Linked DNA regions of Drosophila melanogaster. The protein of the gene in region 3 interacts with the protein of the main gene of each other region in a pairwise test. Each region holds a gene or a part of one and is shown on either strand. Other genes may lie near its edges. The genes, in order: CG17666, aspr and CG4116.

The links.
Region 1: the proteins of CG4116 (region 3) and CG17666 interact in a two-hybrid assay, tested with the Drosophila melanogaster proteins (one large-scale study listed by BioGRID).
Region 2: the proteins of CG4116 (region 3) and aspr interact in a two-hybrid assay, tested with the Drosophila melanogaster proteins (one large-scale study listed by BioGRID).

What each region holds. Positions count from the first base shown.
Region 1 is NT_037436.4:12,779,192-12,782,947, forward strand, and holds the start of CG17666 (uncharacterized protein), read left to right. Parts: upstream 1-2,133; 5' UTR 2,134-2,270; coding exon 2,271-2,326; intron 2,327-2,383; coding exon 2,384-3,756. Other genes in the region: CG10969 (uncharacterized protein), read right to left, coding at 1-1,830.
Region 2 is NC_004354.4:20,146,115-20,149,870, forward strand, and holds the start of aspr (asperous), read left to right. Parts: upstream 1-2,009; 5' UTR 2,010-2,144; coding exon 2,145-2,147; intron 2,148-3,756.
Region 3 is NC_004354.4:3,066,023-3,069,604, reverse strand, and holds CG4116 (uncharacterized protein), read left to right. Parts: upstream 1-2,042; coding exon 2,043-2,837; 3' UTR 2,838-2,990; downstream 2,991-3,582.

The DNA.
Region 1 (3,756 bases), on a different chromosome or scaffold from region 3:
CTGCTGAAAAGGAGCCATTTGGCAAGGAAATTGTTGAGGATTCTGCTGGAAGTAGTTATTCTGATTTGGCATCGATAGTGGCACAGGATACAGACCAAACGGCATCTGTTGCTGTGACGACTGAGGTGCTGATGGCATGGTCCAAATCGTCTCCGACCTGGTGGACTCGATGGTTTGGCATGGAAAGCTAGCCGGCAAAGAATGCTGATCCACTTGCGAGTTAAATCCCTGATCCTCTTCGCCGTTTTCCATTGTTTCATCTGGTTGGGCATCTCCCACGTCGTGTTCCTCTGCCAGTACATCAATAAACTGAGTTTCTGGCGCCCAACGTGGGACGTCAGTGGCATTTTGGGACAGCACATGCATCTGTCGCACTCTTGTGGCTCCACACGCGCTATTCAACTGCAGTTGCACTTGTGCAATCTGCGCCTGAGCCTCGAGCATTTGCTTTCTTAGCTCCTCGGCCAGCATTTCGGTCAGGCCATAGTTGTTCTCCTCAATGCCTTGCTGTTGCATTTGTTGTTCCATTTGATCACAGGTATTCACTTGCTGAAGCTGCTGACAAGGATACACATTCTGCATCTGCGGCAGAACTTGCTGCTGCATCGACTGCTGCAAATTGTATGCAAATGCTTTGCCAGACTGCTGCTGCTCCTGACACTTGAGACATCCTTTTGGTTTCACATTGGGACAGGGTGGATTTCGTCCACAATTTCGTTGCTGTTGCTGGAAGCAAGATGGTTGCTGCTGCAAGCAAGATGGTTTCTGCTGCAAGCAAGATGGTTTCTGCTGCAAGCAAGATGGTTTCTGTTGAAAGCACGGTTGTTGCTGTTGAAAGCAAGGTTGTTGCTGCTGAGGACAAGATCGTTGCTGTCCAAACCAATTACCATTCTGTTGCTGCGGACAACCCGTGCACTTATTGCACCTCGAAATCGATGGCGGTTCGTTGTTCATGTTATCATTTTCACAATCGAGGCTGAGGAAATGTGCTTCGGTAACCTGGCAAGCGGTGACTATTTCCGCTTCACCCATAATTTGGTGTTCCTCATCGCATATGGTCACGATATTTCCGCAATTGGGGACGTCGGATTGAAACCATTGGCAAGTACCAGGACGATGTCGTGTGGGATACTCTCCTCGAAAGCAGGGAATTATCTTCGAGTTCGATGGCTTCGGTTCCGTTTCTGGTATACATTCTGTGGGCTTTTCTTCCTCTATTATAAAATTGGTTTTCGTTTCCGGTTTCAAGTTCTCATGCGTTTCCGGGATTGAATTATTTGTGTCTTTCACTTCTGTTTGCTTGTTTTCTTCGGTCAAACTCGGAACTCCGGAAGGTATCTTTTCGAACTCTTTTTCTCTGGCCTTGGCGACGGATGCCTCACTAACCAGCTCTGGTATCTTATTGAACTCTTCTTCCCTGCTTTTTGCCTTCACTGTGGGGGATTCATTGCGACGTTTGGCTGAGGCCATCATAGACTGACCAGGAGTCTTTGAATTGGGTGGATCTCCTCCCAACACTGGTTTCACCGGCATACCCGCCTTCAATCGAACCGATGCCTTGGGCTTACTGTGCGACATCAATGGCACAAACTCTGGACTTCCCATCGATCTGCAGACACTTGCCTGCCGGCGACGACGAGGTGTTGGTGGGCAGGATGATCGGGAACGCACGGCTTCCTGTCCAGACGGTAAGCTCTGAGCCAGGGCTCGCACCAGCTGCTGTCCGACTCGATTGCTGTATTGCTCCGATGCTATGTTCCTCCTCGGAGGAGGACTCGCATGACGCCAATAGGGACTGGGCCTGGTTGACTTGACTCCGTCATTGGGCATTTCTTCTTTTTTCCCAAATACAATTTTTTGTCTCAGTTATACAATGCTTCCGTTTAAATTTGTTTTTTGGCGTGACAAAGAATTTTGTAATGTCATTTTTTTGACCAAAACTAAAAAGAGAGTTTTGGTCGACATAAATAGTAAGTTAAATAAACCAAGGAAGTCTTTTTGTTTACAAGGTTTCTCTTATATTCATATCATATTATAATCTGTAAAGAACACATATATGAAGATGGTAGCACCACTTTCAAAACGTTGTTTTATCACAACTGATCATGCAATGATTTTAACAATATAGTCTTAGTTTAGGACATCAAAAATATAAATTGTACCATTTACTTCTACTTTTTTATGATTTTGACTACCGATGTTATGTTTGTGTACTCTTCGTAATTGACCATGAGTGAAGGTGGACTTTTAAACAGAACCAGGAGTTGAAAATGTGCGATCCATGTCGATATTTAAGGAGGTGCATAAGCTGCCATGGCAATGGCTGGTAAGTATAAGAATATAGTTAGTGTCTCAACCCAATTGCATTTATACTCATCCGCAGGTGCTGTCCTCGACCAAGTTGCTGTGAGCGATCTTGTTCCTCTAATATGAGGAATTGTCGCGTCGTGTTTTCTGGGGAGTTCCAAAAGTTTTCGGACATGGTGCCGCCCAGTTTTCTTCTAAAGACGCCAGAGCGCCCAAAGAAAAGGAAACGATCGAAAAGTTGCTCAGCCTGTGGGGACAATTGTAAGGATCCGTGTTTAAACATGGATGCATGTGCGGAGAGTTGTGAGAATCCATGTCAAGATGGTAAGAATGGATGCAAGAATCCTGAAGATTGCGCGCAAGACGATCTAGCTAGAACTGGAGCCTACGGAACAGGCTTTGGCTTCCAACCGGGACAACCGACTATTATTCCGTGTTATGGAACTTACGGACCGACAGGAAATCCAATGATTTTTGGTATCCCGCCACCGACTCAATATGGAGGCTTTGGTGTACCTGGTCCCATAGTTCTACCAGTGGCTCCACCATCCTCGGTAGGTCAGGGTGATCCAAGATCTATTCCAGCGGCAGGTCTACCCACACAGTACACAAATAAGTTTAATCCCTGTACCGGAGAAGTCTACCAATGCGGAGATCGCCAAATGCCACCTGGAAGGCCACAAGGAACGGCGCAAGTACCTTCCTATAATCAATTTATACAGGGTTTAGGCATGAGCTGTGCCCCCAATAGTCAGTATATTCCATTCGATGCAACATTCCAACAACGTCCAATAAATCAAATGCCAGTCACTCCTACCTCAGGAGGAAGTGCACCAGCTTATGGCCGAAATAATCAACCAATGAACTGTGAGCCCAACAATCAGAATTATAGCTATACTGTTCCCCAATCAACGAATCAAGTTCATGTTGGTGCTAACAGATCTGAAGTCTATAACCAGCAGAGTCAAGCCACACATTCAAGGCCAGTTCCCCAATTGGAGTCATCAAAGGGGCAACTGCCTCATGGTAACAACAGATCTAAATCTCCAAATCAACGAAGCCCATCTAGGGGAGATCGATCAGGCAGAGCTTATGCCAATAATAATTTTCCTGAAAATGTTCATGCTAGTCCAGGTGCTCAGAGGTCCAAGTCGCTCAGTCACCGAAATGAGTCGAGGGAAGGTCGTTCCGGAAAACCACAAGCCAGTAGAGCCACAACCAATTATCATTCTAATAGTGGTGGAGATAGAAATGTAGATCATAGGTCCGCGCCCAAGTCAATGGCATCCGCTGGTGAAGTGCGTTCTCGTGATAACAACAGATCGTACGATTCAAGAAATCGTAATAAATCTGTAGGAGCACCTACCAATCGACAACCCGTACTTTATGACCAGCAGAGGGTGGGCATGGGCATTGATCCATCCAATCAGTATTATCCGTACAATGAAT
Region 2 (3,756 bases), about 17 Mb from region 3:
GATTGATATTGGGCGGTATGAATTATGAGGAGGCAGGGGAGTGGCTCCATTTCGGTTTGGGATCCAGGATCCCGGACAACCCAATCCATCAGGGCAACCTGTCGCGCGACCTTGACTGGCTGTTGGAAAGGAAAGGAGACAAAATATAGGCAGCTAAAATATGGTAAGCTAAGTGTTGGCCCAGAGATTTGTAGGCCAAGACGGTATAATTAAGTTGGCCCAAAGAACAGGTGCCCGTATCGGTCGTCAGGTGAATTCTCATTCAATTATGGCCAATTGGCGTACGTTTCAATTTGCAGTTTAATCTGTAATATTCCCATATCGATTCGATTTGCGGAGCTTAAGCGATGCCATTCAATGATGCCATTTCATTTGAAAATGGTAGTCGATTGCAAATTGGCAAATGGTCATTATCTTATTGCTATAGGTCAAACCATCTCTATTATTCATTCTAACCAATGCCCACGCAGCCAGCAGAAGTCAAGATTCTCGTTTTAATTGGCTCGATTCCAGTGCAGATTCGTTTGTTCTTAATCCGTTCTTTTTGATATCGAATGAAAGTGGAGCCGGTCTTGCTAAGCTTATATTTTAAACTCGAATGCCATTGAAATGGACTTAGGAAACGGTAGAGTGAGTTAGTGAAGATGTTCAATGAAATACCCAATTGGCTTATTGTGTGGTATGAGTGAATCGGAATACCTCAAGCTAATCAAGAATATTTACGGCCTCTCAGTTTTTTTTTTTTTTCAAATTTTATTTTCTTTCATTTATGTATATTCTCTTTTCGCTTACTATTTGAACGGAAATGGGCGATTTTTTGTTCTCCTCAATTTCCGACATATTTCAGATTGAAAAATATGTAAATTCGTGAAATTAATTAAATTTTGTAATGCGATTATCTACATATATCTTATGCCCAATTAAGAAGAAATAGAAAGAAGAAAAAACCTTAGCGAAATGACCATATTGAATATTTCCCCCAGTTAGTAGTAATAGGCATCCGGTGCGGATAAGATACATTCTGTTTGAAGAATCGGTATAAATTATAGTATAATAGATTTGTAAATTTAAATGACATAACTGTCTTTTAAATCCTACAAAGATAAAGAGTCGCTTAGTTTTGGATGCTTTCAGAAATATGTGTGTACATATATTACCAGGTACCGCCTAGTACTAGCGACCTGCCCATTGTGTCAAGTGGGCAATTTCTTCGTTCACAGCCAAGTTGCCTACGATCCGGAGCCGTGTTTAGTAGGAAGCCCAGCCAAGTTCGACCCACGGCACTTGGATGCAGCGGCCCACGCAGAAATCGAGCCATCATAGCAAAGGCATGACCAAAACAATCCGAAGCAAAGTCGCGTCAAGTACGCGTATATAAATAGCCCGATGCCCAGGCAAATATATGTATATATATGTATATGTATGTGTGTACGAATGACTCAGTCTGAGAAGCGATTTGGACTGAAATGATTTTAGCTAAAATCGAGCAGCACAATATACAAAGTCAACAAACAGCAAAACAAGCTTGTCAAACAGAGTTATGAGACAGAATGCTGGTGCATTGGGAAAAATAGTTTTCCAACTGACAGGCTGAACAAATATATATAACTAAATTAACTACTTCATCAATTTGATCTACTGCTTTCGTTACTCGAAATGTTTCTAGTTTAGCAAGTTGAACTTATGCAGACATAATGGTAAATTAGTTATAAAACTAATGAATTTGGTAAATTCCGATCTTTATTTTGTTAAAATTACAACAACTATTGGATGCTACTACCTGAGGAGAGATAATTTACTTTACAAATCTTTAATATCAAGCTATACTATAGTTTTTTCTCTGTGTAAGTGGAAGGGTTGTGGATGCGGGGTAGAGGGGAATTCGGGAAGGGAAGGTGAGCAGATCAGAGCAGAGCAGAGCAGCTGAGAGATGACGCCAACGTCGCTCAGCTGTTTCTCGGCCAAGTTAAGAGTTGCGGCCTTATAAATAGCCCAAGCTCGTCTAGAAGCCGACTCAGTTGAAAGCGAAGCGTGCCAAGTGGGAAATCGCAACCATTTATCAGTTGACACTTTTTGTTTTGTTTTTTATTTTACGTTCTTTATCTGCTGTAGTGCTAGTGTTTTCTAAGAACTGAACCCCGAAAATGGTGAGTTGCAGTGGGAATAACCAAAATCAATATGTATATATAAACGTGTGTTAAGGAATATATCCTTTTTTTTTTTTAAATCATCTAAACTGAAGCAATCTATCAACGATGGATAATTTATAAACAATTTTATAAAAGTAATAAAAATGGGTTCGATTTAAGGAAAGAATCTGAATCACGAATAAGTATATAGATTTAAACTTGCACATTTATTTGCTGTTTATTTTCTTCACCGCGAAAACTTAAGTGAAAAAATTACGCACAAAGGCAATACATAAAATATGCATTCAGTAAATGATACGTGAATGGAATATTGATGTACTTAAAGCAAACACGACAAAAAAAATATTCATTTCACAATGTAAGGACTTAACTTTGCTATTTGCTATTTACTTCCGGCTAGATGAATAGTGGTGAATGGATTTGCAAATACATCGAATGAACCAAGAAATATTCCCACATACTCGTAATGTTTCTGAAGCCCACGATCGGTTTATTCTTTTGAGTGTCTTCGATCTGCCTTTTATCTGCCCATTTTTTTGTTTTTTTTGGCGATGATCAATCACTCAACGCTTTTTAAGCTGCCCAAGTAAACATCAAGCCCATTATTCATTTGTTTGTGCACAAAGCCAAAAACACAAACCAATTAGTTTCTAGCACTTTAGCATAGCTTGTTATTTTAATTGCCATTACGAGAAGAGTAAAAAGTCCAATAGATTTGAATTGTTTACCTTTTTACCTACTTATGTTGAGCACTTAACATTTTCTTGCTCATTATTTAAATTTAGAAAGCATTAATTTAATCTAAACTCTGACAGGTTTTACGTTTTATTTAACTAATTCAAGATTGAACAGATTATATAGTTGACTATTTAGTTCTCGCCCTTCCAAAAGCAATTATTTAAATGTACATATGTATGTACATATATAATATAACAAATATGGCTCTGATTCACTTCACTTCCCTTGCGCAATGTAATCAGATTATAAATCACCCTGCAAGATGTGTGATTTAAGAAAAAAATCCAATTTCCTCCCTCGGTGGATCCATCCGTGCCATTTACGCGATGATCGACAACTTAGTTGATACGAACATGGACTACCATATTGGTCATTCAGAGTAATTCGAAAAGGCAGCCGACCCCCATTTGCATATTCTTATTGTATGCCGATATTTGAATAATTGTTTTTAGCCCGAATTGAGCTTCCAAAGAAGCGGACAACAAGTTTATCACCCATGTGTCATTCGCCAACAATGATCGCCACCTTGAGAGCGAAGCCATATCATCATCTCGATCGTCTCGTCTCGTCTCGTCTCATCTCCATGCCCAGTTAGCCCAAACATGGTGCCACCAGAATCCCACTGACCACTGAGAGTCCAAGTCCAAGCCAATGTTTGCTACCAAACAGCGGATCATCGAGTTAGTCATGTTTATTGGGCTTTTTCAGAACTCGAATGCGATTATGACACATAAACCGGCAAAGGGGGCGTGATACTCGCTTCTCGATTGAGATGTTTGTTCATATCGAATACTTTAGTGAATGAATCCCAATCCAGTTCAAACTCATTTCATTCGACTGGCTCTACGATTGACGCAGAATATGACAT
Region 3 (3,582 bases):
TCTGGGTAAAAGCGGGAATTGGAGTTGGTTTGGGGAAAACTTTAGCTGGCAATTCTATTGCCAAACGCATTTTGCACTTCAATTGCACGTGCAAATGAAAATGGAAGGGGTGGGCTATTGGTGTGTTGGTGTGTTGCTGGAAAAGTCTGCGAAAAACTGAAAAATTCAAGCCTGTTAATATGCGTAAGTGTGTGGGGCAGGTGGGTGTTGGCTGTTGGATGTCGGATGTTGTGTGGTGGGTTGTGGGTGGTGGTTTGGCAAGTGGGTGGAATCTCCTGCGAGGAGTCCTGGCGTGAAGTTGTCGCTTTATTTTTCTTCTCGGGCTTCTGGTGCTGTCATTGATATGGCATTTTCCCCAACCACCCAAAAGTACCTCTGAGTACCTCCCAACCTCCATCCCATTTTTAGCCTCACCTTCTTTCGTTGTCGTTTTGTCGTCGCCTGTTGTTAATTGTCATTGCGTCGCTTTAAGCCGCTCAGTGGCAGGAAAATGGGAAATGGAAGCCTCACCTTGCGTGTGGGGTGGGGAAAATCGAGAGGTGGTGCCGGATAAAGTGAATCAAGAGGAAGGCCAAGGAGCAGGAAAGACTATCGGACATACTCTTGCCTTGCCGAATGTCACTGCAAATCGTTGAGCAAATTGACAGCTTTTAAGTTGACAAACAAATTATTAAGTATGATCATATTCAATATATTTATTTTCTATACGTTAGTATATATATGATATTACCAGTTCTATTTGAATGCACATCACTATAATACTATCTACTAATATTAGCTTTGAAACTAGTTTAGCCTGCGCATTATAATTCGTGTGGATAGTCCGGTTTAAAGATGATTTTAGGAGCATATGCTTCCCTTCGGTGTGGATGGATAGTTTCTCCCTTAGCCGTTGTTGTTATTGCCACTGTTGCTGTTTTCACGCGCGGTTAGCGCCTGTAATTGCATTGCCAAGTAAAGGACGAACCGCGAACAGTGAGCGACATTCGTATGTGTCTCTACGTTCGTGTGGCGCTCCATGTGTGCGCTGCACTGGCAGAAAACAATTGGTGGTTCTTAAAAGCGGAATTTGGGACATACTATCATCATATATCGCTACAATTACAAAAATATATGCTTAACATGGCTGCCCCTTTCTTTGTTTTTTCTTAGTTTAAGAGCAATCCTTTGTGTTTTTGGCCAGTGTAGTTTTGGTGCGTGTGTGTGAGCGTTGGCGTAAGTGAAATTTATTTCAACAGCCCCCGCCAGGCATTCAGCCCCAAAACTGTCGGTTGGCCAACTTAGGCGAAAAATTGAGAAGCAAGGCACCACCAGCAAGGCAGCATCGCATCAACGGCAAATGAAATGAGGCTGGCAAAAAGGGGGATTCCGGGGGTTAAATGCGCCCCAATAGGGGGCGCCATCTGCGGCACACTGGCGCCAAAGTGATGGAAACCATTCCGAATGCACAATCTCACAGCGGTTGATCCAAAAAAAAAAAAAAAAAGGAGTGAATGAAAATATGCAATTCTCAGAGAGAGAGAGAAAGCGTTAAGTGGGTGCATAAAGGGGCAACAGCGGTTTATGGGTTCAACTTTGTATCGTGCAGAGTATTTGCTCGGCTATAGAGCAGTATTCCGTTGCTAATAGAACCCTTAAAAGGTACAAAAACCAATATACGATTTGGATTTCAAATTCCCATTTATATTATTACCCACTGTGCCCGAAAAAACCCCCAACTGAAGCTGCAAGCAGACGTGTTTCTGTTGCTGATTTTAAATTTTAATTAAAGTGTGGCTCCTTGGTTTTTGGTTTTGGTTTTTGGCTTTGGTTTTGCTTTTCGGTTTCGGCTGCGACCACTTGAGGTTCACGATCCGCGGCAAAGCAAACAATGGCCTACAAGTAGGGGCACTTCTTGACACGCTCTTGCCACTTGAAAAGTCCAACTATTTGGCCTCGGGGCCAGCAAAAATGGTGCGAGAAGAATGAAGAAAGGCTTTCTAAAACCTATAACCTATATATATTGGCAAGCAAAATTCCGGGCATCATGGCATCCATGACCGATGAAAGTCGATTTCCGTCAACTCATGTTGGGCTATAAAAGTGCCAAAGATCTGCCCAATGGCACACACAGTTCGATGGTCCATCGTCCAGAAATGATCTACGCAATTCTAGTGCTCTGTCTGCTGGGCAGTTGTTGCCCAGCAATGGCCCAGAAGGTCGAAAAGGATCCGCTGGCCAAGGAACAAAATACCCGTTTGGCCGGCATCTATGTGAAGGATGGCAACGAAAATGGCCAGCTGAGATTCCTGGCATCGGGCTTGAACAGTGGCAGCAGCAGCACCAGCTCTTCAAACACCGGTATCAACTCGGCCCTGAATCAGTACATAACCAATAAGCAGGATATGCTGGAGCAACTGCGTCCCACTTCGGGCACCACATCAACGGGAACGGGAGCTGTTACGGGCACATCGACGGGAACAACAGGAACGACTTCGGGAACCGGAACTGGCCTGGTCACCACGACTTCCAATGGAGCTATCTATGTGAACCTGGGCAGTTCGGGATCCTCATCATCATCGTCTTCCTCCTCGTCGGCCACCAATGCGGCCATTAATCAGGTCATCTATGGATCCTCGCCAGTTGCCGGTCTCTTGCCGCAGATCGTTGGCCAGGCGGTGTCCAGTCGAGTGCGTCCCGGTGGCCAGAACAATAGGAGGCGCGTTCCCGCCCGTAGGCGCCGGGTCAACAAGAGGCGTGGCAGCATTAACAACAACAATCAGCGACGTCGCCGGCGTGGCAACAAGCGGGGCAAGAATAAGGCCCAGGTGATGGTGGTGCGACCAAATCGCGGTTGAGAAGAGGATCCACCGCCTTTCTTAGTTAAGCGAAAAATTACTTTTTTTTTGCCCCCCAGCCAAGGAATTTTTTTTTTTTTAATGATTACTATTAGTATGCGAGAAGGCAACCTTATTTATTTATTTAAATGATTGAAAGCAATTACACTCTGCAACCAAGGTGGTTTTATTCGAGGTCATTATGGCAAAGGCGTGAAATGGATAATTAAATTTTAGCTTTGGTATAACATGCATATTTCATGGACATCATTGCTCTCACCTTGTGTATGTTTTCCAATCGACCAAATTTGCGATTGCAAAGCCTCAAATTTGTGTAGGCCAGTGGATTTGGCGTAGTTGCACTAATTTATGGGCCAACTGGTGTTCATGTTCAAAGGGCCGCCAGTCGGTGTGTCTGCGAGGTGCGCTGGCCCGTTTAGAACCCCCTTGGTGAGCCCCTGGTCAAGTGCAAGACAAACGGTCTCCGGTCGGCTCTGCATGCGGCGGTCAATGTCTTGATAAATGTCTGCAGGATGGCGCCCGGGGAGTGGCGCCCGTTGCTCCTCGTCCTGGTCAGCAGGACGACCCCTCGTGCGGCGCCGCTGTTCCATTTCGCGAACCTCTAAATCACCGTCACGTGTCCGGGCTGTGTATTATGTGCTCATGACTGTAATGAGCCTGTAAGTGGACCTAATCAGTGTCATAATAATAGAAATTAATCACTGCAAGGCCATAGTGGCATGGGTGGTGAAAAATTGTGGAAAGG